7 linked regions of the Nothobranchius furzeri genome follow. The protein of the gene in region 2 interacts with the protein of the main gene of each other region in a biochemical or structural test. Links are inferred from orthologs where the notes say so. Each region holds a gene or a part of one and is shown on either strand. Other genes may lie near its edges. The genes, in order: ccnd1, esr1, ncoa6, cdkn1a, prmt2, proto-oncogene tyrosine-protein kinase Src and mta1.

Region 1 (3,779 bases), on a different chromosome or scaffold from region 2:
TTATTCCACATAGTTGGATGTTAAACTGCATTTTGTTGTTCCAGTATTGGTCATTTTGGGTTAGTCCAGACATCCAGAAACAAGATTCAGGGTAGATGGCTAGGCTAATATCTCCCGCTACCACCACAGACATATTGGACCTGAAAAATATTTTTTTTTCTACCTCAGAGATAAGTACTTGTAGTTGTTCGCTACCATTTTAGTCTGGACTTTACGTAGCATTACTATGATAAATATATAGTCACCACTTAAAATCATTCTAGTTATTAATTTAGCCGTGTTGAATTCAATTTAATTACGTTAACAACTTTGTTCAAATGACAATGCCAGTCTTCAGTTCTCACTGCCTCCTGGCTGCGGTCTGTGTAGCTAGCTAAAAACAGTATGAACAGCTGAGGCTCTGTCCTCTGAGCACATACTTAGTATTTTTGATAGAATCAAATTCATGACATTTCTATCATTCACATATTTTTGTTTCTGCTGTTGGATGATAGAACTAGTATGAATTACTGAGTGGAGCGCGGGTCCGGTAGACTACCTGCTATCCGTCGCTATCCCGAAGCTCTCGTCATGTTCGCTCGTCTCAACGCATGAGTGAAAAAAACAAAAGCTCTCCGCTGCTCCTTTGTCATTAAACAGAGAGAAGGAGAAAAACCTCTCGCTCCATAAAATGCGATAAAGCAATACTCGTGAACCGAGTCGCTACTTTTGGCCCTTCTTTAGAGAAATAAATCTAGGGGTGAAAAATCTGTAAATCTAGCCAAAAAGACAGTTGGAAAAACAGAAGTGGAACTGCAACTGAAGGGGAATATGCAATCTGATTGGTTGGAAGCGTCATGTGGGGCGCTGTGCCAGCTAGATGCAGAAATTAAAGGAGAAGCGCTACAGCCCAATATTGCCCAAAATGTTTAATCTGTTTGTTTATCCACAAGGAGGGAAAATTTTTTTCCAGGACAACTCAAAAATTTCCAGGACATTTTGCAATTCCACCCATTTTCCATGTGTTTTCCATGACTGGAAAATTGGACTATCATTTTCCAGGTTTTCCAGGACGCGTGGGAACCCTGACACACACACACACACCACTACTCTGCTCCCTGTTCTGATTGCACAGATTGGTTATTGCGTTCGGTGCTAATTAAACACCAACCAGGTGTGGGGTGTGAGTCGTTACACACACCTCAGCTCATCCTGACAGAAACAAAACAGATGTGGTCTTCAGCCTGAGCGACAGCCCTTTTACTTTGTATTCTGCTCTCCTGCAGACGTGAACTTCATAGCCAGCCCTCCGTCGATGGTGGCAGCCGGCAGCGTGGTGGCAGCCGTTCAGGGCCTCTACCTGAAGAACCAGGATGCCGCCCTGTCCTCTCAGAACCTCACCAACTTCTTGTCCCAGGTCATCCGCAGCGACCCGGTACGTTTGAATTCGTTGACGTGACGGTTGTTGTGGCTGGCGTGAGGACGTTGACCCGATGCTGACCCTCTGTTTGCAGGACTGCTTGCGGTCGTGTCAGGAGCAGATCGAGTCCCTGCTGGAGTCCAGCCTGCGACAGGCTCAGCAGCACAGCGGCACAACGGAAAACAAACATGTGGAGGAGGAGGTGGACCCGTCCTCCACGCCCACAGACGTGAGAGACATCAACATCTGAGAATGGTGGACATCTGTCCTACAGTGAACTCGACGATCAAGAGGAAGTAGTTGTGGGAGGGTGCTGATGGGGGTAGGGGGACTTGCTTGGTCTCACCCTATACCCCTCCTCAATCCTTCTCCAACTTCCTAGTGGGCTGAAGGTCAAGAATGTCTCCTGCTAGCCTGCTGCCAGATCAGATCGGACACACCACAGCGTTCCTTCCCTCCAGGGGACTGCAGCTGAGACTACAGGGACGTCCTGGGGAGGACATGATGACCTGCAAGGGCTGGGCTCTTCCCTCACATGTTAAACTTGGAATCTTTAAGTCAGCGCACCTGAAGGTCCTCATCCTCAAGCAGATACTATGTTGTCTTTTCTATCTAAAGTGATTTAGTCTGTCCACGTCTTTGTCCCGTCTCCGGCTTGCTCGTGTTTAGTCACTTTATTTAGACTTTAGTCTGGTAGGTCTTCTGTTCCCAGCCAGAGGGGCCATGAGCTGCTTAAACCCTCTGATGCTGGTCCGACTCAAAAAAGCACTTTGGTCAGCAACGCTGACTCAGCTAAATGCATCCAGAACATTCCCAACACACAACTGCCAACCAGACGGCCTCCGAGCGACGGAGCCGTCCGAGTTTCAGCTGAGCAACTAAAGCCTCTCCAGGTTCCTCCAGAGAAGCCCCTCAGTCCAGATCCTGATCAGGACCACCCCCCCACCCTGCTCTGCCAGAACCTGGTGTCCCTTTAGACAAGCTGGTGGGTTCTGGGAAACCGATAAAGCTGACTCGAGGAGAGATGAGACGAGACTTTGCACAAACATGAACATGTGGGCGTGTTCCATAGGAACCAGTCCAGGTTCACGACACCCCCCCTCCCTGGTGGGGGGTCCCGGTGCTGTCAGGGCTCCTGAGGGGGGTGAGCGGGAGCTGCGGGTAGAGGGTGTACAGGAAGGAGTGAGGCACTCCGGGTTTTCTGCTGCTATAGAAACGAAACGACAGCTTCTGTCAAAGGAAACAAAATAAAGCAGACAAAAGAATTGAAACGACGCTTTTTCCTGTTTGCTGCTATCTGATCTGATTATTTTGTTTTGGGAGTATGCGTGTCTATAAACTGCAATTGTAGGCTTGAATTTTCTCATAGAAAATTGTTATTGACATCCTCATCTGTTGTCTTGTGTAGGTGATCAGCTGTTGTGTGTAATAGGGCTGCTCAATTAATCAAATTTTAATCACGATTACGATCTGAGTTTTGAACGATTATAAAAACAAAACAAGCCGATTATTTGCTCCTCCCACTTGCGCTGCCCTGAGTTGCAAATGAAGCGCTCCTCCCACAGTGTTGCCAACTTGGCGACTTTGACGCTATTTCTAGCAGCTTTTCAGACCCCCTTCTTGACTTTTTAAATCCTAAAAGTACCTAGCGAACACCTCAGAAACATCTCTGGTAACCCTTAGCTTCTTTCTGGATAACTGTCGTTGACATTTCCTGCAGGTTAGCTAAACACTCCGCCTGCGCTCCGGACCGTTCTTCAGGACATTAGGAAAGGGAATGATGCAGTGACGTGTCAGTCGCTAAAGAAACAGCTCTCAGAGCCGGCTCCCTGTTGGATTAACCAGAGTGAGTGACACACACACCGCACCTGTGGACTTCTGAGCAGCTAAAAACAGCTAAATGTGCGCGTGCGGCATGCTAAACAGACGTGCAGCTTGCCCCCTGTGAGACCGGGTTGGGGGGTGCAGCTGTGGTTGAGACAATTATTACATTAACTGATGGACCTGTAAATAAATAGTTTATAAATAAGGTAGAAATAAGTTCCTCACGCTGATAACTAATAACTAATCTCCCTGAGGACACGGTGCTAGTGCACTCTCCTACAGCACCTTGACATGACTAAATAAATGTTATGCAACATTTTGTGAACATCAATTTATTTGCATTTATTTGTTATAAATGCCACTGTATAATTCTTGCTGTCAGTATTTGCAAGATATTGGTATTTGGGTCTGTACTGGTTAGACTTAAATGAGTTAAACCAAGGTCTATAGCCCTTGGGTCATAGACTATGAGCTATAAGTATATTGGTCTTTTTATACTGGGAATCAGGAGTTATTTTAGTGGTCATCTTGTTTCTTATTTATTTTGTCCTGATTG
Region 2 (3,779 bases):
ATTTTATGTCTTTTGCCACCATAACCTTTAGGGTAACAGCGTGTGCACGCGCGCGCGCGTGCGCACGCACACACACACACACACACACACACACACACACACACACACACACACACACACACACACACACACACACACACACACACACTCACACACACACACACACACACACACACACGTAGAGCCATTAAGGTGAAGGTAGTTACAGTCATCACCTTTGAGAGGATTGTTTAGTCAATCTGCTGGCACCCCATAGAGCCTAAATGCATTAGAAGGTGTGCTACACACACACACACGCACACACACACACACACACACACACACACACACACACACACACACACACACACACACACACACACACACACACACACGTTCACCTGACTGAAGGAGTAAATCCTTATTTTGAGGCATTACGACCTCGTGCGTCACTAAAAGCCCAAAGATACACAGCTGTAATTGCGAGGGGCCCTAAACGGGCTCCAGAGGGGACAAAAGAAATAAATAGGCTGTGATTACAAATGAATGAAAACAGCTGGGAACCAGTGATAAGACTCTTTATGTTAAAGGTGATCAGAAAAAAAAACATTTAAAACCGAATAGCTCATGAAGATCGTGTGTGTGTGTGTGTGTGTGTTTCCAGGCTTTCTGCAGCTGTCCCTCCATGACCAGGTTCTGCTGCTGGAGAGCTCCTGGCTGGAGGTTCTTATGATTGGGCTAATTTGGAGGTCCATCCACTGCCCTGGAAAGCTCATCTTTGCACAGGACCTCATACTGGACAGGTTCATCCTCGCTGACGAACACATTTACCCTTCTTCTTCTTTTTTCCCCTCTTCCATGTCAGATCTTAAAAGTGATCCATCAGCATTGTAGATTTATCATGTCACACCTTGCCAGCCTTTTGTGCCATCCCAACACATCTGGCACAGAGTGAAAGACTAATTACATGTTCCCCACAGAGAGGAGAGCAGCCACTAGCTAACCAGAAGTCCCCCCCCCCCCCACACACACACACTCTGATCATTACAAGGCTGAGCTGGAAACCAGGATGGGGATTTAATCGAAGCCTCAATGCAAAGAATGATGGGAGACGGGGAGCAGCAGAGAGAAATAGAGAGGGAGGTGACTGGAAACGAAACTGAGGAGCTAAATGATGAAAAGAAAAGAAAAGATCAGAAAGTGGAGATGCAGAGAGACAGGAGGCATGGGTGTTTTCTGCTTCGCAGGCACAGCTTGTTCCTTTCGTTTCTCCTCATGTTCAGAGTAAACAGGCTGGTCAAACCGCAGCATCAACCTGTAGGAGAAAGGGAGAGGAGAGGCGACAGCGACAGGGGTGAGGGAGACATGCAGACAGACAGGGCTTTTACACTCTGATGGTTCCATCTGATCAAAAGTGTTTTACAGAGTATTATCTCTGAAACCTGGCCTCTGAATGAGTGTCCTCGTCAATTGGACATGATGACTAAAATGCTGCAGGTCAGCGTGGATGCATTCCCTTACCTCTGAGCTCTCCAAGTTTATCTTGCACTGAAGCAACTGGATGTTATCCATCTTCCCCTCACAAATGGAGCACGGCAGTGATTCAGTGCATTAGTGGATAGTTTCACAACTGAAATGCATCAGCTTCTTCTTCCCACTGCAGACCAGACCTTGGGATCTGTTTTCCTCAAATCACCGCTTACGTTTCTGACTTACAACCTTGATTTATGTGCTTTTCAAAAACAAAACAAAATGTAAGCTCTGCATTCCAGGAACGAGGGCGACTGCGTCGAGGGTATGACCGAGATCTTTGACATGCTGCTGGCCACTGCTTCCCGCTTCCGCATGCTCAAACTCAAACCGGAGGAATTTGTCTGCCTTAAAGCGATCATTCTGCTCAACTCTGGTGAGGCAAACCTCTTCCCTCCAGTGCATGAAAACTCTGCCTGCAGGCATCAGGGACATTTGATAGAAAATAACAAAACAAAAAGCTCTAAAGTTTCACAGTTTGGGTCGTATGCGTGCTACGTCACAGGTTTCCATCTCCGCTCCAGAGAGTAAATATTGAACAGAGTCAAAATCCGCCCACAAGAGGTGTAGCTCTCAGAGCTGCTCAGGCACATTAGACGAACAGAGTGTTCTGGAAAGGCCTGTACCGTCAATATGCTCAACAGCCGTTGCCACAGCAACATGGGACAGCTGAGGAGGGTGTGTTTGTTTGTCATGGCGATGGAAATATTCTATAAGGGAAGCAAAAGGACTAAAATGCCAGAAGGATGAGATGAGACGCTCAGGATCATGATGAACTTTTGATTACTTCGTGATTGCAAACCTGCATCCTAAATATCTGCTTCTATTTACATGCATGAGTCACATTTAATAACTTCTAATAAAAGCTTTAGTGTTGGAGTTTTAAATTAATCTGAACGAAGTTGAATCAGTTTTAATTGTTGCTGCTGATTTACTCGCCTTTGTTTTTGCAGAAATTAGAGGACAAAGCTACAAACTGAACATATTTTTTCTCGTCAGGCGCCTTTTCTTTTTGCACTGGAACAATGGAGCCCCTTCACGACAGCGCAGCGGTGCAGAGCATGCTGGACACCATCACTGATGCGCTTATACATCACATCAGCCAATCAGGCTTCTCGGTTCGGGAGCAGGCGAGGCGGCAGGCCCAGCTGCTCCTACTGCTTTCCCACATCAGGCACATGAGGTAAGGAAATGGTCTGATGCTGTTTTGTTTTTAGCAAATTTAGAATTGAACATTTTAGAGGATGAGTCGGATGAGTCCAAACGATAACGTAGATAACTCAAAAAGAAAACAACACAGAAAAAAAATGTTTGTTAGGGGACATATGATTCATCCTTTTGTGCTGCCATGTTGGTCTCTAATGCTTCTATAAAAACTCCAAATGTGAAAGATTTTGTCCATCTGTTGTCTGTCAGTGTTTGGTTTTAGGAATTATGTGCCTAAAACAAGCTGTTTTTTAAAAATCTGTTTGTGATGTCACAAGCAGGGAAATTAGAAAAAAATCTTTGACGTGCAAGAGAGAGAGAGCTGATGCTGAAGGAGCAGCGGCTCAACTTTGAACCCCCTCCTGGACATCTGAGCTTCTACGCTCATAGCAGCCTGAGTGGGTGATGGGTGGGCGTGGCCAGCTCCAGCTTGTGTTCTTACGGTGACAGAGCCCTGAAACGGCTCATTTTGGAAGGTTCTGAAAACTGAAATCACTTCATGTGAGAGTGATTTAGTGTAAATTACTTAATAAACATGTTAGGTATCAACAATAGAACTATTAAAACTTAAGAAATAAGGTCCCCTTTAATAAGCATTATAAATGAAGCTGGCTTTGATGCTTTTGAAGCACCAGAAAGACCTGATTTGTTCCATCTGTTGCAGACATAGGTAACATGCACGCTCCATCCCATGACATAAATATGCTCATGAAATTCTAATTGAATGTTGAATAAAAAAGGCTTTTAAAACTTCATTAATGTGCATTTAGGCTGAAAACAAAGGGGATATATAAACACGCAATGTTCCAGACTTCCTGTTAATGACCTAAATTAAGTTTATCGTGAATAATTCGTGTGTCACTAACATTTAACTATCAGATTTAAAAATACAAATTCATGAATGTTAGATTCGTTGGAGGTTCATGCCATAAGAGAATGAACCAAATGGGGAAAACCTTATAATGATCTTTAAAGGACGTTAAATTATCATTTGAATTGACGCTTGTTTTTTGTGTCTGTTGCAGCAACAAAGGCATGGAGCATCTGTACAGCATGAAGTGTAA
Region 3 (4,558 bases), on a different chromosome or scaffold from region 2:
CAAAAGGAGAAATATAGAATACCATTTAAATAACATTTAATGTTCAAAACTAATTAAAAAAATACAAAATATCAAGTAATATTTATGTTAAACATTGTTAGAAACAATGCAACACAAAAATTCACATGAACCAAATAAAGATGAAGAAATTTTAAAATAAAATACAAGCTTACTGTGATGAAAGTTTGGAAACCTGCGTGTTAATAATATGTTAGAAGCTAATGGCATATAAGGGAATTAGCGTTAGCGTTAACAAGCGTTGATATGACTTCACTGTCGCCCAGAATATTTTACAGAGGATGTTTTTCTGCTCAGCATCAGACTCCTTAAACCTAAACCAGGCCAGTATAAATTATGTCTTCGTCTTCTCATCAACTTGCTCTGCGCTGAAGCTGCTGCTGCTTTCGACAGCATTCATGTGTGATCACGTTTGGACAGTAAAGCCAAAATCTCTACTAGTAGACTAGAGTACTGTTAATTTTTTTGTTAAACTTTTGGAAAAACTTACCTGGGCCAGGCTGACCTGGAAAGCCACCATCCATTCTCATCTGACCAGGTGCACCAATTGGTCCATTCACTCTGACTTCTTGTCCTCTGTTTGGTCCCACAGCCACATTAATTGCTCCCTCTCCTGAACACCAAGATTAAATCATTGCATAAATGAATTTTTATGAAGACAAAAGGAGGAGATCTGCATGAATTCTTTTTGGACTGAGCTATTACCTTCTATTTGCACAGAGAGAATACCCAGGTCTCTGAGCTGCTGCTGGTTGTTTTGGGCCAACAACCGGAGTCGCTCAGCAGCATCCCGGGGAATGTTGAATGTGACACGGACACTGTTCCACGGCTCAACATGTTTAGGCTGCAGCCGTTCTGGGCCTAAAATAAAGTGTATTTAGTTAGTGTTGGTTGGAAAATGCTTAACAGGTCAGTGCAAGATATATATTTTTGAATCAAATACACGTAAATGAGCTCAAATAAAACAAAGTAACAAAACAAATTGAATAAAAATAAACACAAACCCAAATTAAGAACATCAGGTATCCCATTGAGGATAGTTTCTAGTTTTTGAGTGAAGTTCTCATCATCCATGTTTCCTTGAAAGGCAACAAAGACTGTGAAGTCCTCCTCTCCATTTTCTCTAGTGTCTTCTTGCTCCATGGGTCCAACTTCTTCTGTTACGTTGCATTTCTCAGAGCTATCTGCGTCTTCTCCAGAATCTTCTCCAACACCAGAGTCTCTGTCCGATTCACCATCAGGCTCCATGTACGCAGTCTTCTGGGATGAGGAATGTTCAGCAGCTATCCTCCCTTCCTTGTTAGGAGTGGTGTCTAAACCGTTTTATGCTGTAATTACAGATTATTCAAACTTTAGATTACAGCATTTTCTTATCAAATACTATTATTCCATACTTTGCCTATCTCAAATGTATGTACTGCCCAGAAAAGTCTATGGTATTGATTAATTTAATAATTATTTGATAAATTATGCTTTTTCTATAAACTGTTTCAGCTTAAAGTAAAAAGCTGCTTACGCTATGGGTTCCCAATTTTCTACAATTTCGTAGAATGCATTTAAAATGGAAAGTTTTGGGAACATAACAGCTCATCTTAGAATATTTTTAATTTCCCATTAATATATTGAGACCTTCGACAGTTCTTAAAGAGCAAGTCACCCCCAAATCTACTTTTTTTTTTGCTGATAAACTATATAAATGTGTGTCTAAATGTGCTGCAGACACGTGTAGTCAATAATTTGGTACTTCAGTGCATCTTAGTTAAAATTGAAATATTCTGCCTAAAACTGTCAATGTTGCGCCGTTGTCAGGTAAAAACTCTGCACTGCATTTGAATTTAAATCTGCCACCGCTATTGGCTAAGAGGTATGCTATGATGTAAACTGGTACATTATGATGTCACAGTGCCGTTGTGAGCCTGTGTGTGTGTGTGTGTGTATTTGTTAGTGGCTCCGCCCTCTCGGTCTGCTAGGCAACAGCATTTGTTGCATTTTTCAAACATGAAGAGGGAGTGAAATAAGTTTCTTGTAGGGGGTGACTTGCTCTTTAATTGTTTTAGAAACCCTGAACACAGCCAAGAAACAACAGTTATAGTAAGTTGCTAGAGGCTGAAGAGTATTCTATATAACATTCGATTCGAGTAAAACAAAGACAAGCAAAAAAAGTCATAATTTCTATTTGCAAACCAGAAAAAGAAGCAAATAAATGAGTTTGTAACTCAATGAAGCAGACACCTGGAGGTGACATCACTGACCGGTGATTAGCTTATTAAGCAGAGGTGCTCTGATTGGTAGTCACATTACTTTCAGAGTTGTGAGATTTCTTGATATGGGAGTTAAACTTGTTAGTAATAATATAATATATTTTTATAATGATGATCATCCTGGTTTCAGTCACCGGCGCTGCAGGAGTGTGGGCCTTAACGCAGTAAGCTAACATTCAAACAAAATCCACAAGTAAACTCTGTTTCTTACCAAATTGTGCATTTTCATCGTGGTGCAATTAACACTTACATTTCAAATGTATACGTTTTAGCAGCACACAGAAAGAGTGAAATTGAAAGTGGTTCCTATTGGTTTTCCGAAAAATCCTGTTAGCATCAGTTAGCTATGTAGCTAGATGTCAGTCTCCAGACGCGAATGAATCCAAGCAGCGAACCGTAGCTGGTTTAATTTGCCTTTCAACAGTTTTCGTTAATAAAAACAAGGAGAAAGGAATATACAAAGACCTTACCAAACATATCCATATACGAATACGTTCAACTAGTCGACATCTGTTTGCTAGACAGGCTAACAAAATAGGATGAATGTCATAAGCAAGCTAACTAACAAAGGTTGTTTCCGGTTTTCTTTTTCAAAATAAAAGCTCAAAAGGTAAACGCACTCCTTAGGTTAACAAGTTCATGACTATTTCCTAAATAGTCCTGAATAAACTGAGCTGTTTTATCTATTTTTCAAATTGTATTAAATGCAAGTATGATGACAAATTGCGGAACACTGCTTATGTGGGTATGTGCAAACATTTTTATTTCACAAATTTGAACAAAACCGATTTTTCCTTCAATTATAAACACAAAATAATCAAACATCAGGTGTGCAAATGTGTGCATTAACAGTACACAAGACAAGACTCTAAGATTAGAAACCTATTTGATCAATTTAGTGTGAGAGAAAAACGTGTTCGATTTTACTTCTATTATTCCGCTTAATTGCACCAAAAACACATGACACCCATCCCGAAGAGTTCCAGGCTGAATATAGATTTTAGGAATAAAAACATCTACAGTCAAACAGTGATGTAAAAATTGATTTTACATTAAACTGTTTTAATTCCCATTCAGAGAACAAGGGTGACCCTCTCTCAAATAATTCTAATGATTTTCAAGAAAAGCAGCAAATAAACCACTAAAACTATATTAAGAATGCAAAAAGAACAGTAACAATATAAGAAATACTTTAAAATCAATAAAACCATCTCAGTAAAAGTAGTAAACCAAGATGTGGAAATCACATTCCTGTTAAACATCTCTGTCTGGGTATGTTATCACCTAACATGTTCTCAAAAAGAAGGTAAAACTCCAGCAGCTGTGCAAGACAACATAATCACAGTTACATGCCACACTACAAGCAAGGGAAGGACAGTTAGACAAAGACAAAGCAAGTCTCTTCACTTGTCATCTAGCAACATCCTTGGTAATATTTGGAATAATTGACAAAAAACATTAAAAAATAAGTTGACTGTTAATGCATGTACTGCACACTATGCATTTTTTTGTACATTTTACATTATTGGTTTATGATTTCATTTATTGCTCAATAATTTACCTCTGAAATTCTGACTAAACAGTGATAGAGAAAATACTCTCAAACATTCCTCTCATAAGTTCAGCAATTACATTATTTCATTTGCAGCTAACTTTAGTGCCACTGCTGGGTGGGCTTTTACTTTGAAAACCTTGTACCGTGTGACTCGAGCAAACAGATGTGAGGTGAACTCACAGAAAGCTAAGTGGATTTTTATTTAAATGGCAGTTTGCTGTGAGATTTTGATGACTGTAGTAGTTTGATCATTTTTATTCCACCTTTTCTTCTTTCACTAGTATCCTACGAGTTTGATCCCTGCTGTAATGTGAGTGAATACTGGAAAAAGTGATGGATGCACTAAGGTGTGTTGGAAATGGTGAGGGCAGAAGCATCAGCACTACGTGGGTCCTTCACTCCAATGATGAGGTCATTGGTTCTCCGTGTGCCTTCCACCAACGAAAGGACACCCATCCTTTCAACTGTGTGTCCTTTGGCCTTCAGCAGCTTCACGTCATCTTCCAAAAACTCAGCTGTAGGGAAACCAAATGAAGAAAAAGGAAGTTGTCAATCTGCGATCAAGAAGCATTGCTTGATTTATCTGTTCGGATTCAAGAACATCCCATTTTCTCCCCTACAGTAGATTATCTGTCTTGTCGCTGCAACACTGACCGCTACTGGAGATCCTTCCTGCCAACAGCCATTGTAATATACAATAACTCTTTGATGACTTGATTATTAT
Region 4 (3,095 bases), on a different chromosome or scaffold from region 2:
TTAAAAATCAGTGGATGAGATGGAAAAAGTTGGCACTTCTGCTGATTATAGTCTAAGCAATGCAACCACATGTTTAAGGATATATCACAACTCCATAAGCCGTTTTCCGATGACTACGTAAAGCAGAGGTCCCCAATCCTGGTCCTGGAGGGCCGGTATCCTGCATGTTTTAGTTTGAATTCTGTTTCAACACACCTGATTTCAATCAGCAGCTCATTAACAGGCTTCTGCAGAGCCTGATGAGCTGCTGCACAGGCGTTTCAACCACTGAATCAAGTCTGTTGGAGCAGAAAAACCACAAAACCTGCTGGATACCAGCCCTCCAGGGCCAGGATTGGGAACCCCCGATGTAAAATATAATGCACTTAAAAAAAAAACTCCTATAAAAAGACGTAGAAAAACAATTATAGATTTGAACAAAATAGACAAAGCTCTCCTGTTTTTAGCTTTCCTGCGGCTTTGCCACAGAAACGTATTAATCTGAGTCCTGATATTTGTTCGCACGTCTGCTTTTCATCCTCAAACAGGCAGAAGTCCCACCAAACTGAGATGTGATTGTGTTTTAACCCTCTGGAGGCAGGCATCGCAGATCTGCAACAGTTAAAACCTACCTACCTGGTTACTCCACACAAGTATCTCATGAGCATTTTTTAACTCAGAAGCACCCCTGAAGGACTTAGTTGTTCGTCCTTTTATCAAAACGAGACCGAGAGGGTTAAGAGCTGTGTGACGCGCCGTAACAAATGTCAGTCAGCAATTTGGCGAGCTCTCAGTCCAAATGAGTATAAATCCACTGATTCCAGAGATTACTGTTAATCTTCTCTGCTCAAATGTCACCTTCTTAACTGCAGCGTGGACAGAAAACACCAGACCCCTCACACATGCAGCATCTTAATTAGCCTGGTGCCTTCTGGGTTTTTTTTTTCTTTTTTTTGTTTTTTTTTTGTTGGATGATTCAGCACTCCCGCTGCTCGGTGTGGAACAACTGATTCCTGAAGGAGGTGCTGGTTCTTTGTCTGGTTCTCTTGGGAGTTTTGGCACCTTCAAAGGAAATATCACTCCCCGGATTTCCTCGGCAGCCAGACAACTCTTCTTTTAGCCTGATAGAAATCTGTTGGGTTAAAGAAGAGGATACTTAGCTTATGAGAAAAGATGAGTGTTTCTAATTTGATATAAAAAATATCTAAACATACCTGTAATGTTTGTCTGTTTCCTCTTCATTCCTGATTTGTCTTCCGTCTCTGATGTTGTCTCCATGTTCTCCAGACTCAGAGAACATTTCTCTAGAGTTTGGGGGAAGTTCTCTTTCTCCCTCTCTGGTACCACCACCCTTCCTCTTTTGGTTGCACCTGCTGACCTTTGACCCTCTGCATGTCCTGCACAGATGACGCTGGATCTGTAGGGCAGTGGCACCCTGGTACCTGGGACAATCTCCCACTGGAAATCACCGCTCTCCAGAGGTTTGTCGGAGAAGAAGTCGAACCCCCAGCGTTGGGAAGCCTCCTCCAGATCTTTACGCAGGGCAGTCCGGTACTCCATCTGGAGCTGTTCTCGGTCCACTGGGCCAAACAGGCTCCGCCGAGGGGGACCGTTCCTTCTTAGAGTACTGAGGGCTCGCTTGTGAAGTGTAGCCATCCCTCTGCACTGTAGGTAAAAACAGGAAAACTGATTAGTTTCAAAAGCCACAATCTATTTTGTCCACAGTCTAAAAAGTACACAAACTAAATGTTTTTAATATTTTCAAACCAGTGATTTAAACAAAGTTTAGTCAGACTCACCATGGTTCTAGCCTAACAGCTCCTCAGTGAACTAGACTGCTTCTGTGAGCTGACGGGCTTTTATAATGCAGTGCAGCAGCAGCAGTGAGTCACTAGCCCTCCTCTCTGGTACATGTCTGGGCATAATCTCTCACAGGCATGTAAGGGCAAGTCCTCTGCTGTTGTGGTGTTTGGTGTAAGAGAGATAAACCACAAGGTGGCACTGTCACTCCGACTACAGACAGCTCGGAGGCAAACACCAGAGAAATAATTCATCTTCAGTTTACGTTGAAACTGAGGGAAACATGTGACTGTTTTCTGACTCTGACCTGGGAAACAGGTCATTCAGACCATCCAAGAAGGAAGGAAGCATTCAAGGAAAACAGTCCCTGCCCGTCCAGTTACGGTGCAGCAGATGAGATTGGGAGATGAATAAAATACGTTATCAGTGATTAAGAGGACACGAGCTTATTTTACAGAAGCTGTTCCAGTTATCTGCAAACGGAATCTGGAAAAATCTGCTTCAATTTGACGTGAAGATGCGTTTCAGTAAAATACTGATTAGTGTTATAAATAAAAATGTGTCAATGAAACAAGTCATCTGTTATAATCTGATATGATTCTGATTTTTATTTTCATACAAACACAAGCACAAACCCTTTTTTCTGATTCATAAAATATGAGAGTGAAATATGTCTCTATTTTAGCTTGATCTGGCTCCTATCATGGAGTTCAGTTTGGTTTGTTCATGAGAAAAAGAAGGGCCCTTTGCATTTTGATCAAAATTATCTACGTAGTAAAGTCAGTTGACTACAGTCTGTATCAGAGTTTACTAAAAAATGGGTTTGTTGGACACATCTAATGACCACTAAGACTATGTATGCAGTGTTCAACGCTCCCACCCACAGCACAGGGCTCAGAATAAAGCTCCCCAATTGTGGGTGGATCATTAGGTTAATAAAAGGGTTTGAAGGATCCCTGCTGGATCCCTGCGCTGCCCTGGTCCCACAGAGGAAGGGGGAGGGCGTTTCTTTTACTGGGCAGGGTGGTTCTGGGAGGAGTGACTCAAGCTTTGGCGGGAGAGCTAGTCATGCATGACTGAGTTGGACCCAGCCCAGTTCAGCTACAACTCTGCTCCACGTGAGTCTGGAACTCGTGTCAAACTGGGATGTCACAGTTTGGACTCACCCACTCTCTCTCTCTCTCTCTCTCTCTCTCACACACACACACACACACACACACACACACACACACACAGACATGTAAAAAAAACTAAAACCACCAAACAAGAGTTTATGGATTTCCTGGATGTGCAAAAATGAGATCGCAAAGATCCAT
Region 5 (4,542 bases), on a different chromosome or scaffold from region 2:
ATTGTTTGTTCACTGACAATGGCAATAAACCGATTCTGATTCTGATTCCCAAGCCATTGTAGGAAACAAATATTAGATTTTTCACAATTGAAAATTTAATTTACGAACCAGTTTAGGCAAAGTTGTTTTTTTTTTTCCTTTTATGTACTTTAAATAAAAAAATTCAAACATGTAGAATATGAGAAGAACAAGCAATTCAAGCTGAAAAATAACCAGCTTTTCCCCAACGTCAATAAACTCACAGGGACGTGTGCAAAATGCACTTTTTGCATTTTTAGAGCTGCCATATGACTCTACTACCCCTACACATATCCAAACAAGGATAAAATCTGTGCTTTCACTTGTTGAGTTTGACTTCAGGTGTTATTCGTCTGAAATGAGCTGTTTCAAAAATTCCTTGTGCTTTTCTGTGTTTCTCTTCTATTTCCATGGGTTTTCTGTTCTTATTTTGTAAAGCGAAGCAAAATGTTTTTTCTTCTTTATCTTTTTTTTTTTTTTTTTTTTTTTTGCTGACAGGGCATCACAGTCGCCATCATCAGAGCTTCTGCGGTGTCGTCACTTCTGCTGTTAATCCCGGGCGGTGTGGAACGATGTCGCCCTCTACAGCCCGCACCTTCCCTGCCGATCACCACGTCCCATGAATGATCCAGCGTGTAAACTCCATCACTTTTCATGGCCCAGAGTCCACGTTTACCAATCTCAATCGCTTCGTTTAGGCATCTTCAGTGGATAAACAGCGGAAGTGACGCCGCCAGAATGGCGAATCTCTGCAACGCCGAAACTTTCAGCAGGTAACGTAAAAAAACAAAACTTTGCTACTCTGTGTGCAAGATAAGAACAGAAAAAACTATTTTTCAAAAAATTCTATATTGTGACATCACAAATAAAATTATCATAGAATCCCTTCAACTTCAGATGCTGGATGACCTCCTCCAACGGCAACCAATCAGGGACCAGAAACTGTTTTGCTTAAAGTGAAAGAACGGCTCATTCTAGAAAGTACTTAAAAAGCTGCTCACTTTATGCGAGACTAGTTTTGAGCAAGGAGCTTAATTATATAGTTTTGTATTTACTCTAGAGTAGGCGTGTCCAGTGTGGCTCGGGGGGCATTTACGGCCCTCCAAGCGATTTTGTAAGGCCTCCATTTGAATTTTTAGAATGATGAATTTTGTCTTTCCATGTGGAATGTAACCCACTTTCTAACATGTTTGTGTTGAGATTTTTACTTATTAGCCTATTTTGGGTTCATTTTGAAGAGCACAAATAAGAAAAATTGCCACAAAATAATGCTTGCAATTTTTTATGAAGAAACCTACATTCTTGTGGCCCCCAGTGACTTTAAACAGCCATTTTAGCCCTCGCCTTGAAAAGTTTGGACATCCCTGGTCTAGAGAGTAAAATAAAAACTCGCAGTTCCCCTTTAAATGATCTGCTATCGTTGGTGTGTTCTTGCTGTGTTTAGTTTCAAATTCTATCTTTCAGTTCTTTTTAAAGCACGATATGCTATGTGCGTGTAAACAGTGGTCACGCACGAATTCAGCTATTTCCGACAGACTTGAAGGCAGCACCAAAGCAGGAAGTGCGTGACGCGTTTTACCGCTTGTTTCGCTGTGGTAACAAAGCACGTTTTGGTTATTTTTAAACCCAGATTTGTCAGGTTCAAAATTTGAGACAATTTATAAAACAAAACCACTTCACTCGCCTGAACCCTCTGGAACATGGAGGCGGAGAAAGAGGACGAAGAAGACGCGTCTCCTGAAGAGTTTGTGGCTTTGTCTGATTTCTCAGGAAGTGGCTCCGAGCAGGTTAGAGGCAAACAAACAGCGGTTCAGCCACAGAACACACTCACTTCATCACTTGTGTCCCGCAGCTTAGTTTCAGCTCAGGGGACAAGCTGCTTGTTCACGCCAAACCTTCTGCAGCCTGGTGGTGGGCGGAGGTCCGTGGGGTCATAGGGTATGTCCCTGCCAGCTACCTGCGCCAGGACACAGCTGAGGAGGAAGACACCTCTATAGAAGACCCCTGGCAGGATGAAGAGTACTTTGGGAGCTATGGAACACTGGTCAGAAACATCAAACATTTATCCTATGAAACTTTAGGTCGGTTTGCATGATTAAAGCAACACTTGTGCATTTAGAATGTGTAGAAGCTGCAATATCTTCATAAGTTTAGCCTGAATTTGAGCTCTACACTATATCATGTCAGGTTTTGACTGTAAAGCACACAAAAACTTAAAAAGTACAATACTTGAGAAATAATAGTGAAATGGCACACCCACAGAGAAAATATCCCATCTGTTGTTCCTTAGATGATTATGTCATTCTTAAATTTTATTTATTTAATTTTTTTGCAGAATCTGCTTAGTTTGGGGTTTATTTTTACATCCAGGAATGCTGCTGAAGTTAAAAAAATAAATAAAGTGTTAGTCTCCTGAGGCAGCAGTGTGTGTGGCCTGTTCTCCACCTAAATCCTAATCTCTAACCTCCGTAGAGACTTTACTGATGTTGTCTCAGTAGCATTGAAGCATATGAGTTTGCGGCGGATTCAAAAATACTTTAATGCCATTAAAATAAAAGAAACATTAATACGTGTTTTTGAGTTTTTGACAAAATTCAAGCTTTGTTAATAACAACACCGGAAATCGATAATGAGATTCTGCCACTGTTCTGTTCATTAGAGGAGATTTCTTGTCCTCGTCATTCATGCATGTTATGTGTTCATTTTGTGGGGGCTAGGAATAGATATTTACCTCAACAAATCTTTAATAATTAAGAGGTTATTTGCAGGTTTATTATGGATTTGTTGTGCAGAGATTTCTGCACATAGTCAGAAAGAGTGCAGCACCATTAAAAAGTCACATTAGCCTCCTCTGTTCTTTACGACTGCAGGGACTAGAGGACTGGTCCTGCAGATCTTTTGTATTTCTGAAAATCGTATCGTGACTGTGATTTTCCTCTGCAGAGAAAACAGACCATTAAATGGAATATATTTGCTGGAGTGTTGTGTGCACAGCGTTATGGATTCAAGTCAAAAACTGAAAAAGCGTTTGGAATAGAACAAAGGGGCTTATTACAAATCTTGTTTCCTGCCTCAGAACCATGAACGGCATCAGGAACTGAACAGTTTACAGCACGGTGAGGCTGCTGATGTTTCAGACTTAGTCAAAGTTGTGGATTCTAATTTGCACCTCGGTCAGGTAAAGGATCAATGAGCCAAAGCGACCACGTCAGCATATTCAATAAAGCAACCTAGCTGCCCTTGTGCTCACGTCCACTTATTAATCACCTTCTGCTACATAATTAAAACCTGTTGGGTTTGCTTTCACACCATCAACCACACATGTGTTTTATGTTGCTACTTTTCATCTGTTAGCGGGAGTGATTGGGAGCACGGTTTCTGATGGTTCTGATATATTTTCACCCCTCCATGTCATCATGTTAAATTCAGTTTATCTCTTACGATGCAGAAGCTTCACCTAGAGATGTTGTCGGACAGGAGCCGCACCGAGACGTACCGGCAGGTTGTTCTCCGCAACAGTGCCTCCCTGAAGAACAAGGCGGTGATGGACCTCGGCTGTGGAACCGGCATCATCAGCTTGTTCTGCGCTCAGTTGGCGCAACCGTCAGTGGTAATTGTGACACTGAAATTCAACCATGTCGGCTTAAATGAATGTTCAGTTAGCATTAAAGTATGCAAGTGTCTCCTGAATGATTATTATTCTATGATTCCATATATTCAGAGTAAAGATCTCTTTATATATCATACAAAGTAAAATTTTAACTTGATGCCTTTAAGGTTTTAATTAAAAAAAAGACAAATTGGAAAGAAACAGTCACTAAGTGGTTCAGGTCAACTTTATGTTGAACAGTTTGGTTAGAGCGCCATCTGGTGGACAAACACTATTTCTACAGGACTGAACCCTTTGGTTTGAACAGCTTCGTGTTTCTAAGGTAGCCTGGCCTGCCAGACTCACCCTCTGTCTATTCTACAACATGCCAATGCTTCCCATAAGGAAGGCTGGCCAGGCTATTTAAAGGTGCAGTGGATGTTGTAGGAAACGGACGTTCAAATGAGCTACATTAAAAAAAAACAGGTTCAACCCCTTTTTCTGCAGACCCCCCTGGAGTCATAGAAAATGTTCTAACACCAGACCATACGAATGCCGTCCAACAACGATAAAAGTCTTTTCAACTTGTTGTTGGCACCTTTTCTGCCATTTTTTTAAATAGTGTAACGCATCGTAACCATGTAACATGTGGGAGGTGGAAGAAGTGGTCAGTTACTGATTTGAGGTCGCTGGTTCAAACCCTGCTCCCACCAACCTGTCGTCGTGTCCGTGGGCAAGACACGTCACACTTGTTGCGTACTTGTGTTGATCAGAGAACCCGGTGGCCTAGCTTCTGTCGGGTTGCCCCAGGGCAGCTGTGGCTACAGTGTAGCTCATCACCACCAGTGTTTGAATGTGAGCATAAAGCGCCCTGGAGTCAGTAGATGATTCAAAGCGCTGTACAAAATCAGACCATTTACCATTATTAGAACAAT
Region 6 (3,779 bases), on a different chromosome or scaffold from region 2:
ACATGTTTTTTCAGTCACTTTTAAAGATTTAAGTTCCAATAAAAGAACATTTATGTTATTTTTATTTATTCCAGAAAACCTACAACGTATTCAGTTAACAGCGTTTAAACTGCCCTTCGGTATTTAACTCAAAGGTTAAAGTGTCAACGTAATTTAACTCAAACCCACAATAACCTCAGCAAGGACATTTAAGAAAGAAACTCAGCTCCCACGCTGAAAATCTCAGAAGCTGAGAAATAAAACATAAGAAGAAAAGATAAAAACAAGTGACCTTTTAACACCAAATTATTTTACATGTGGGGTTTATTGACAGTTTTTTTTTTACTAAGAGCTCAATAGATAAATCCATGCATCAGCAAAAGGAAGAGAACAAAAGGTTGCATGGAGTTTATATGGCATTAGATTTTACTGACCTGAAGCTGTACTTTTTCCTAGAGGAAACCATGAAGCATGAGAAAGGAAAGAGAAAGGGAGAGATAACAGACACAGCAGACACATCAAAACACGGCAAGGAGACACAACAAGGCAGGCAGACAGAGCAGACCAGCTGGATGCTGCCGGACTACACAGAAGGGCCGTTTCAGGTCATCCAGTATGAAAACACACAGACCTGGAAAGTTGCACTTAATTCTAAATCATCAAAAGTTTAAATGGAGTTTTGGGTTTAATCAGCCCTTCTGTGTAGCGCCAGGAGAACAGGAACCCAGACTTATGGCAGGACATTATAGAAAGAGCACACACCAAAAAACAAAGAAATAAAGCATCACAGTTCAGGTTTTTAACATGTTTCTTACACTGGAGGGTCTATGTTTTAAATGCATATTACATCTGAACCAGAATTTTTTTATTTAACTCCAGTACACCTCGAAGTGTGCAGCTGAACCCTCAATTGCTAATGGAGGTCACAATTTGTTGCCTACAGTCACATCCCAGTGGGAATATCAAAAATAGTCACTTATTTTTGCAATTGTTTTACGTTATTGTTGATATGGAAATCAAAAATTGAGTCAACTGTCTCACTACATCCCCTAAAATCAGGTTAAAAAACAAATAATCTCTTCAGAAAACCACACAACTTTCAAGACATTTGGTCATTTCGAGATTTTTCAAATCTATTGCTATGGTAGAGAGGAGAGGAGTGACTTCTGATGTTTCTTACGTGTTGTTTATGATCTGCAGCCGTTCGCCTTTGGCAAAGCTCAGATCAGTCGTCGTCCGTGCCTCATAGTCATACAATGCCACAAATGTAGTGACACCTTCTGCAAGAAACCACACACAGAGACATACATCTAACTGTAATTACAGACGCTACAAAGAAATGAAAGGGTTCCTCCCTAACTTCCATAAAAAATATTCAGCTAAGCATTTTATTTTGAACTTTTTCAGTGTTTAATGAAACATATTGATAGATGAAAGGGTTCTGACCAAATGTCCTTGACAGACAGAGACATCACATAAACGATTTTCCATTTTCTGTGCAGATTTCTAAGAGTTTATTAAACAAACTTGTTCTCTAAATCTGGAAACTCCCCAGCCAATAGCTGATTGGCTCATTAAATGCATGACAGGAGGTAGTAGAAGAAATGTTCTGCTCCCTGCGTGGAGCAACATTAGCCCGACCATCTGGCTGGTCTAGACAACTTAAACATCAACAAAAAGAGGACACTGCATTACACTAGGCTGCAACTGCAAAAAAAAAAAAAAAAAATAAATAACCTTGACGGCGTGAAGAGGAAACAGCTTTAAAATATGGTTCTGAGTAGATGTGAGTTACTCTGACTCAGTTTGATTTTCTTCATAACATTTGTGATCTTAAATAGAAATCAAGTCCGTAGGCAAAGAATGAGTCAAACTCATCTTAAAGGTGCAATTTGGGAGAATGATATCTTGTGGTCAAATCAGGTTACTGCAGTAAATATTACTCTCTCACTCTCGTTCTGTGAGTTTCGTGGCTGTACCCAGTTAAGGATCAGCACCAGAAGATTCTAGACGACAAGTAAAGACGAGTCATACACAGTAAGTCGATTAGTAGATAAATACATTGTCATGTCTGGTGTTTCACGGTAGGGGGCATATACTACACATATTATGATAATATTTCACCAGCATTACAGGAAGTGTTGTTTGTCGTCTTGTTGTTAGCGTGTTGTTATAGTTCTGAATGACTCATTAAAGGAAGTAAATCTCCACGACTGACTCATTACTCACTCCACACACACATTTCACTGTAATATTCAGTTGTTGGTAATTGAAAAAGTAACATGAGATATTTTTAGAGCTGACTATTTGGTTCTAATTTACCGTTAGCATTGTTAGCTCAGCATTAGCCTGTACCTGGCCTCACCCGATATTAAGAGTAAAACAAAAAGATGCCGTGGTACAAGAAATAGCTTCTGGGTCACTCCCGTTTACTGGCTTTGGTTCTATAAGCAACTCTGAAGCTTTTTTGCCTGCCGGTGTTGAATTAAAAATGCCAGTGCTGCAGCGTTAGCTCACTGCAGCACTGGCAACCTCACAAACTAAACAGTAACCACTTCCCACTTTCATTGTTTTCATAAGGAGAAAAGTTGGCAACCCCCCAGCTGGCTGACAATGAAATCAGTTTCGGTATAATCTTCCTTCCAACATGATTGAGACATTAGACTGTTTTATGATTAATACACTGTAGAGTTCTTACAAGTTGCACCTTTAATTAAAAAGTTACAAAGTAAAATTCAATAAAACAATCAGTCTTCCACATCATTAAAGGAGGAATACTGGCCTAAAGAGGTAAACCTCAGTTAGCTGAAGTCTCCTCACTCTTTGTAGGCATGCCTCTCTTTATGTCCTACCACAGCATTTCAATTAGGCTGAGATCTAGACTTTGACCCATTAGAACCCCTTGATCCTTCGCTTCAACAGCCCCTCTGTTGTAAATGTGTCCCAGTGTTTAGGGTGATTGTCCCAGTGAATGTATGAGTCTAAGCCAAGATCCTGCTGTAGGACAAACGGCCTTACATTCGACTCTTGAAATTCTTTGGTGAACAAGAGTTCATGCTGATAATGACTCTAGGAAGCCCAGATGCTGAACAGCAAGTCTCCTTCATCATCTGCCCTTCACAGTACTAACAGTGGATATGGGGTATTTGTGCTGATCTGCAAAACTTCATTTTGAACAAAAATCTCCACTTTGATATCTTCAGAAATATTTGCACATTTCTGATTTTTATACTGATGTTGCTTTACCACTCAAAAGATGTAAGCTGTGCTACCATTCTCTTATTTTTTAAAGATAAGATGCTTTATCCTGGCTGCCCCTCCAAACAAGAAGCTTTTGTTTAGTCTTTTTCCAACCACACTTAACTGATTTCAAACTAAAGCCGGGCGTACGCTGTGAAACTTTTTCCACTCGTAGGATTCAGCTCTACCTCAAACCGTACAACGTTCTAGCAGAGCAAACTTCACGAGTCATGTTCTCACACTGTATGACCCAATGCTCAGATGTGACCTGACTGCTCACACTGAACATGTGGTAGAAGCACTTTGGTCCTGAAAATGTGCTAAAAAATACTGGTTTTTACACAACATGTTGGGAGTTAGTTACTTTGAGTCCGAAAACCCGGAAACTACATGTGCGTTAGTCTGATATCTTTCAGGCTTGTCACAGGACACACAAAGGTTTATGGGGTTGGAGAAGGAAGATTAAAGAAAGGAAATAAACTTTGTTTTGGGATCTGTTTTATTTGACATAAACATGGAAAACATGTTTTCTTGAGACTCCTTGCCATTGTGGGTGGAGA
Region 7 (4,531 bases), on a different chromosome or scaffold from region 2:
TTCTTCAATTAAGCCCATACCGGCAGACATAAAAACACAGAATATTACATGGAGCCGTGGAAACTCAAAATGATCAAATTGAAGATTATTGTGTAAAACCCTCCCATGCTGCATGTCTCTTGTTTTTTGCCATAAAAGAGCTCTAGGATTTAAAACAGGATTCTTCACATGCTGCACACTTAACGAGTGCACACTGCAACTACACACGATTGGCCCGCAACAGTCATGTGACTGCAGACTGTAGTCCCTTGTGTTAGGCCACAGTAATTGAAGCTTCCATATGGTATAGATCATATGTAGCGTTCACCACAGCATTCCTCCTGCACTGAGGCTCTACACTCACATCCAGATTTAAAAACAAAGCTGTGGAAAAACCATGCTGCATTCTCTCATCACAGAGTGTCACTCATATTTAACACTTGCTAATGATTTCTCTGACAGCAGAAGAATTTCTCTTGCAGGGTGTTTGAGGCAATTTATGTATTATTTATACATAAGTAGCAACATGCTGCAAGGATCCAAGAAGAGTATGTGTTTGTGTTGGGAAAATAACAAAAGCAGAGCAAATGTATAATTTATTTTGTATGGTGGATTATGCTACAGTACATTTCTCCTTTACCATTTCAACAAAAGACAACATAAACGCAAACATTTAACTATTGAGTCATGGAAATCCCTGGATATTTTTTATAATGTTAAAACCTTGCATGTTCCAAATTATCATTCCATGAGTCACTTGGCATGTTTTTGCCTCGATAGAACACTGTGTACTTTATTTTGCGCATTGACGTCTAGGCAACAGCAGTATGTGTCCTTATTTTGGTTCAGTCACTGATACAATTCACTTGTACGTGTAAATTTTTGCTAATAAAATGATCTGTACAGATTGTTCTGCTAGTGTTGTTAAGGCCGGTAAACACCTTCAGAATAAGATGAGAGTTAAACTGCTTCTTTTAAAATAATACACATATTTGGAAATGAATTAAATGAGCGAATAAACCCATGATACATTTCTATATACAATCCCCATGAACTCCTTGTACAGTTCATAAACATAGTGAATGACGAATGAAATGAATGAAAAGCTTTATTTGTCCCAGGGAAGGGAAATTAGTGGGTCAACTCCTTGAGTTTTGGGGCTTATTTAAAATATATTGCATTCAGTTTGCATTTTTATAGCAAAATAATTAAATTGTTGATTTCACTGAGCACAGCAGTGTAGACGATAAAATAATTATTAATTACACCCCTTCTAACGTCAAGCGTGACCCAGAGGTCACGTAAAGGGGTTTACTCTCAAATCTCGCGATATTTCAGTTGATGAGGGAGAACAAAAAATTGGGACAAAGTTACAAAAACAGGCGAGTTTACTTTATCTTAATAACTATTCTAACTACCAGATAACTACTTTAACTATTAACAAAAACACGACTAAACCGAAAGGCGGTGGGCTACTGCGGTGACTGTGACGCATATTGAGATATATATTAAGAAATAATGGCGTAGTTAGCCACTGACGATGTTATAAAGGTAATAAGTAGTGAGATTAACGCGCCCTTTGTTATCCGTGCCGATAAGTTGGGTTTCCTGAAAAGGTGTACTGTCTCTTTAAGGTCTCTCGGGCAGTCTGTTTCGTATTGATCAATCCACCATTTTCCAACACACAGCTCCGGCAGCGGGAGAGAGCAGAGAGCCACCCCTCTACCTGGAGAGGAAGCCCGGGACCGGGGGCAGTCATGGCAGCCAACATGTACCGGGTTGGAGGTAAGCTTTGGGGCGTTTGCGTTTCGGAGCCGTGTGGCGTTTTTACTCGGCGGACTCGCCATTACCCACGGAAGCTCGTTATGAGCGTGGCTCGTCTTTTAAAAACATTTCCGTAAGCTGGGAGAGCTTTGTGCTTCTCGCAGATGATGGTGAGGAGGAGGAGGATGGTGATGAAGAGCAGCGAGCGGTTCTCTTAAACATTTGCTTCTTTTGCTGTTTTCCCCCTTAATGAACCCAGAGAGCCATCTCGGTGTTCTGGCACACCTGAACCCTCCATGACGGTTTAGTTTATTTTAAATAACATGTCACGGGTTTTCTGAAAGTTTCACCTAACTATTGTTCTTTCTGCTGCCTCCTGTAAGGAACATCGTGAGTACTTTACTGGAACCGCATAGGCATCAATGCAAGGAGGCAGCCGGGACAAAAACTTTACACTACATTTAGTTTTAACACTTTAAATGTAGAAATGACCAACAAAATATTCCAGATTAAGCTTTTTGCACATCCAGGGAGTCTCTTAATACCTAATGAAGATTCTTGAGTCCCACTCAGGTAAGACAGGTGTAAGATAGTCACGTGGCAGTGTCCAATCGTGATCTTTTTGTTTTTATTTATTTATTTTCCACATACTTTAGTGCCCAGATTAGTGTCCACTCCTGTTTGGAATGATGTTGTATAGTGAGCGTTTCTGTGTTGTTGTACATTACCACATATTTACTCTGACAACTGTTCTGTAATTCAGGGATGCTGTGACTGTACTTGGCTCGGATACAGCATCAGAAATAGCCCAAAGTGAACGTCATATATCAAATTAAAGGAGGCCTACCTGCGTGAGAACAGGATTAGTCCAGAGAGGGGTAGAAAGTTAACAATTCAGTCACCAAATGTCACTTTGTTCAGTTTCTTCATGCCACTCAGTTTTATTGATGCGCTAGGTTTTTCAAACCAGTTGTGCAAAGATTATTTTCCTTTGCTGTTTGTTTATTAGCTGAAAATGCACATTTTGGAACACATGTTACTTCACTTTACTCCAGCAAGTGATATATATCAAATGGCACTAAACCACTCACATTTACGTCTTAAGTTGTTATTTTAGTAAAATATTGTTGAGTCTGTCTAGTAAACCTAGTAATAATTGAATTTGGCCAAACTGAACTGAAACCACAACAATGAACTCTTATTAATTGCTGAGTAAACACACTTTGGGATTATTTTTCTTCTGTTGTAATAATCTAGATTAAAAAAAGGCCAGAAATGAGGCCTGATAACAAGGATCCTTTCAGAGCAGCATCACAACAAAGAGCTGCCCTTGAAGAGATGGCTGCAATTTTACAAGATAATAAGAAGCATCCTTGGGCTTTGATGTCTTTTTATTTTTATTTTTTTAACTGTGCTGGCCACAAACCACTCATCTGCTGCCTGTATCACCTTTTTCCTTGTGTCCCCATCCAAAAAATATGTTGAAGAAGTGTGTCAGACCACCAAGTTCAGACCTAGTTCAGTAAATTGCTGAGTAAATGGGAAGAGGAACTGTACGTGGTGGTTTGATTTTATTATTATAAATTGTAGAAATCCAGAATTTTTATTGGAGGGATTTAGTCAGTGGGCATGCATCCTGAAATGAATGTGATTGGCTAATAAAGGACCATGCTTAATAATTGTTTGTTATACAGAAGTTGTGTCAAGCTTAAGAATAGGGTTTGTTTAATCTACATAACAGCTGAGGTAAAATACACACACACACACACACACACACACACACACACACACACACACACACACACACACACACACACGCAGCTGCAGCAGTAGGTTTTCTGTGACGTTTTGGGAAATCTCACAAATCATATTTTATTCCATCAACTGCAGCCCTGTCCAAACTTTTTTCCCTGAGGTTTAATGTAAAACCGCTATCTTCAACTCCGTGCAAACCACTCGAGCTGCAACAGAAAATCTGCACCTGTTCTTAAAACGCATTTCATTTTAAAATATTCTTTTATTTCCTGCATCCGATTCTGATCTGCTTGAATAACGTCGTTATGAGAAAAAACACCCAGAGTTTTGAGAGGCGGTGCAGCATCACATCTGATAAACAGCAGCTAACATGTAAAATGTCTGTTTTTCTTGATCAGAGTAAAAGTAGATTTCCTTTTTGATTCTGTCCTTTTTGTTGTAAAATGTATTTAAATTATTTGTGTCTACATGTTGAGAAATTAACTGTGAGAATATTAAGTGCCAAAACCTGAAATTAGTGTCTTAAAAGCCTTTTCGTGCAAGATTACAGAATTAGCTCTAATCTCTCGTTCCCAGCATTTGTGGAGCAGGAGTCCATTATTAAGCCCCTGTTTCTACTGGAAGCTGTGGTGACTCTGCTAGTTGGTATTTTTCAGAACTGCAACAAGCCAATCAGCAAAATGTTCCCCTAAAATGCATCCACCCACTGGTCACTTTATTAGGTACAGCTTACTGGAGGCAGATGCCTTCAGAAATGAATTCTACAAGATTATAGATGCATTTCTCAGAGTCCATGTTGGTCCAAATTAACATGACTGCATCACATAGCAACATACACGATGAATCTCCCATTCCACCACATCTCTAAGTTCTGGGGCCTCATTTATCAGGCTTGCTTACGCACAAAACGGGGTCGGAAAACTGCGTAAGCAACTTTCCACGCAAACTTTGGGATTCATGAAAGAAAACGTAGTAGAAAAATGTGCGCAACTTTAAGTTGACTAAGGACCTGGCTTACGTACATTTTGGACAT

Evidence for each region.
Region 1: the proteins of esr1 (region 2) and ccnd1 form a complex in vitro, tested with the Homo sapiens proteins (2 studies listed by BioGRID). The link is inferred for Nothobranchius furzeri from reciprocal best matches to the Homo sapiens genes ESR1 and CCND1.
Region 3: the proteins of esr1 (region 2) and ncoa6 form a complex in vitro, tested with the Homo sapiens proteins (4 studies listed by BioGRID). The link is inferred for Nothobranchius furzeri from reciprocal best matches to the Homo sapiens genes ESR1 and NCOA6.
Region 4: the proteins of esr1 (region 2) and cdkn1a form a complex in vitro, tested with the Homo sapiens proteins (2 studies listed by BioGRID). The link is inferred for Nothobranchius furzeri from reciprocal best matches to the Homo sapiens genes ESR1 and CDKN1A.
Region 5: the proteins of esr1 (region 2) and prmt2 form a complex in vitro, tested with the Homo sapiens proteins (2 studies listed by BioGRID and IntAct). The link is inferred for Nothobranchius furzeri from reciprocal best matches to the Homo sapiens genes ESR1 and PRMT2.
Region 6: the proteins of esr1 (region 2) and proto-oncogene tyrosine-protein kinase Src form a complex in vitro, tested with the Homo sapiens proteins (3 studies listed by BioGRID). The link is inferred for Nothobranchius furzeri from reciprocal best matches to the Homo sapiens genes ESR1 and SRC.
Region 7: the proteins of esr1 (region 2) and mta1 form a complex in vitro, tested with the Homo sapiens proteins (4 studies listed by BioGRID). The link is inferred for Nothobranchius furzeri from reciprocal best matches to the Homo sapiens genes ESR1 and MTA1.

What each region holds. Positions count from the first base shown.
Region 1 is NC_091749.1:21,584,019-21,587,797, forward strand, and holds part of ccnd1 (G1/S-specific cyclin-D1), read left to right. Parts: intron 1-1,265; coding exon 1,266-1,414; intron 1,415-1,493; coding exon 1,494-1,649; 3' UTR 1,650-3,779. UniProt on the Homo sapiens protein: Regulatory component of the cyclin D1-CDK4 (DC) complex that phosphorylates and inhibits members of the retinoblastoma (RB) protein family including RB1 and regulates the cell-cycle during G(1)/S transition.
Region 2 is NC_091742.1:2,857,939-2,861,717, reverse strand, and holds part of esr1 (estrogen receptor), read left to right. Parts: intron 1-643; coding exon 644-782; intron 783-1,751; coding exon 1,752-1,885; intron 1,886-2,508; coding exon 2,509-2,692; intron 2,693-3,740; coding exon 3,741-3,779.
Region 3 is NC_091755.1:60,747,384-60,751,941, reverse strand, and holds the start of ncoa6 (nuclear receptor coactivator 6), read right to left. Parts: upstream 2,879-4,558; 5' UTR 2,750-2,878; intron 1,347-2,749; 5' UTR 1,267-1,346; coding exon 1,023-1,266; intron 880-1,022; coding exon 724-879; intron 632-723; coding exon 509-631; intron 1-508. Other genes in the region: glutathione hydrolase 7, read right to left, coding at 4,177-4,349. UniProt on the Homo sapiens protein: Nuclear receptor coactivator that directly binds nuclear receptors and stimulates the transcriptional activities in a hormone-dependent fashion. Coactivates expression in an agonist- and AF2-dependent manner.
Region 4 is NC_091743.1:46,701,164-46,704,258, forward strand, and holds cdkn1a (cyclin-dependent kinase inhibitor 1), read right to left. Parts: upstream 1,913-3,095; 5' UTR 1,782-1,912; coding exon 1,779-1,781; intron 1,645-1,778; coding exon 1,194-1,644; intron 1,112-1,193; coding exon 1,056-1,111; 3' UTR 745-1,055; downstream 1-744. UniProt on the Homo sapiens protein: Plays an important role in controlling cell cycle progression and DNA damage-induced G2 arrest. Involved in p53/TP53 mediated inhibition of cellular proliferation in response to DNA damage.
Region 5 is NC_091754.1:17,486,548-17,491,089, forward strand, and holds the start of prmt2 (protein arginine N-methyltransferase 2), read left to right. Parts: upstream 1-1,668; 5' UTR 1,669-1,718; coding exon 1,719-1,805; exon of another isoform or gene 1,806-1,838; intron 1,839-1,870; coding exon 1,871-2,062; intron 2,063-3,466; coding exon 3,467-3,628; intron 3,629-4,542. UniProt on the Homo sapiens protein: Arginine methyltransferase that methylates the guanidino nitrogens of arginyl residues in proteins such as STAT3, FBL, histone H4. Acts as a coactivator (with NCOA2) of the androgen receptor (AR)-mediated transactivation.
Region 6 is NC_091743.1:58,656,944-58,660,722, reverse strand, and holds part of proto-oncogene tyrosine-protein kinase Src, read right to left. Parts: intron 1,260-3,779; coding exon 1,160-1,259; intron 432-1,159; coding exon 414-431; intron 1-413. UniProt on the Homo sapiens protein: Non-receptor protein tyrosine kinase which is activated following engagement of many different classes of cellular receptors including immune response receptors, integrins and other adhesion receptors, receptor protein tyrosine kinases, G protein-coupled receptors as well as cytokine receptors.
Region 7 is NC_091758.1:21,770,706-21,775,236, reverse strand, and holds the start of mta1 (metastasis-associated protein MTA1), read left to right. Parts: upstream 1-1,624; 5' UTR 1,625-1,736; coding exon 1,737-1,764; intron 1,765-4,531. UniProt on the Homo sapiens protein: Transcriptional coregulator which can act as both a transcriptional corepressor and coactivator. Acts as a component of the histone deacetylase NuRD complex which participates in the remodeling of chromatin.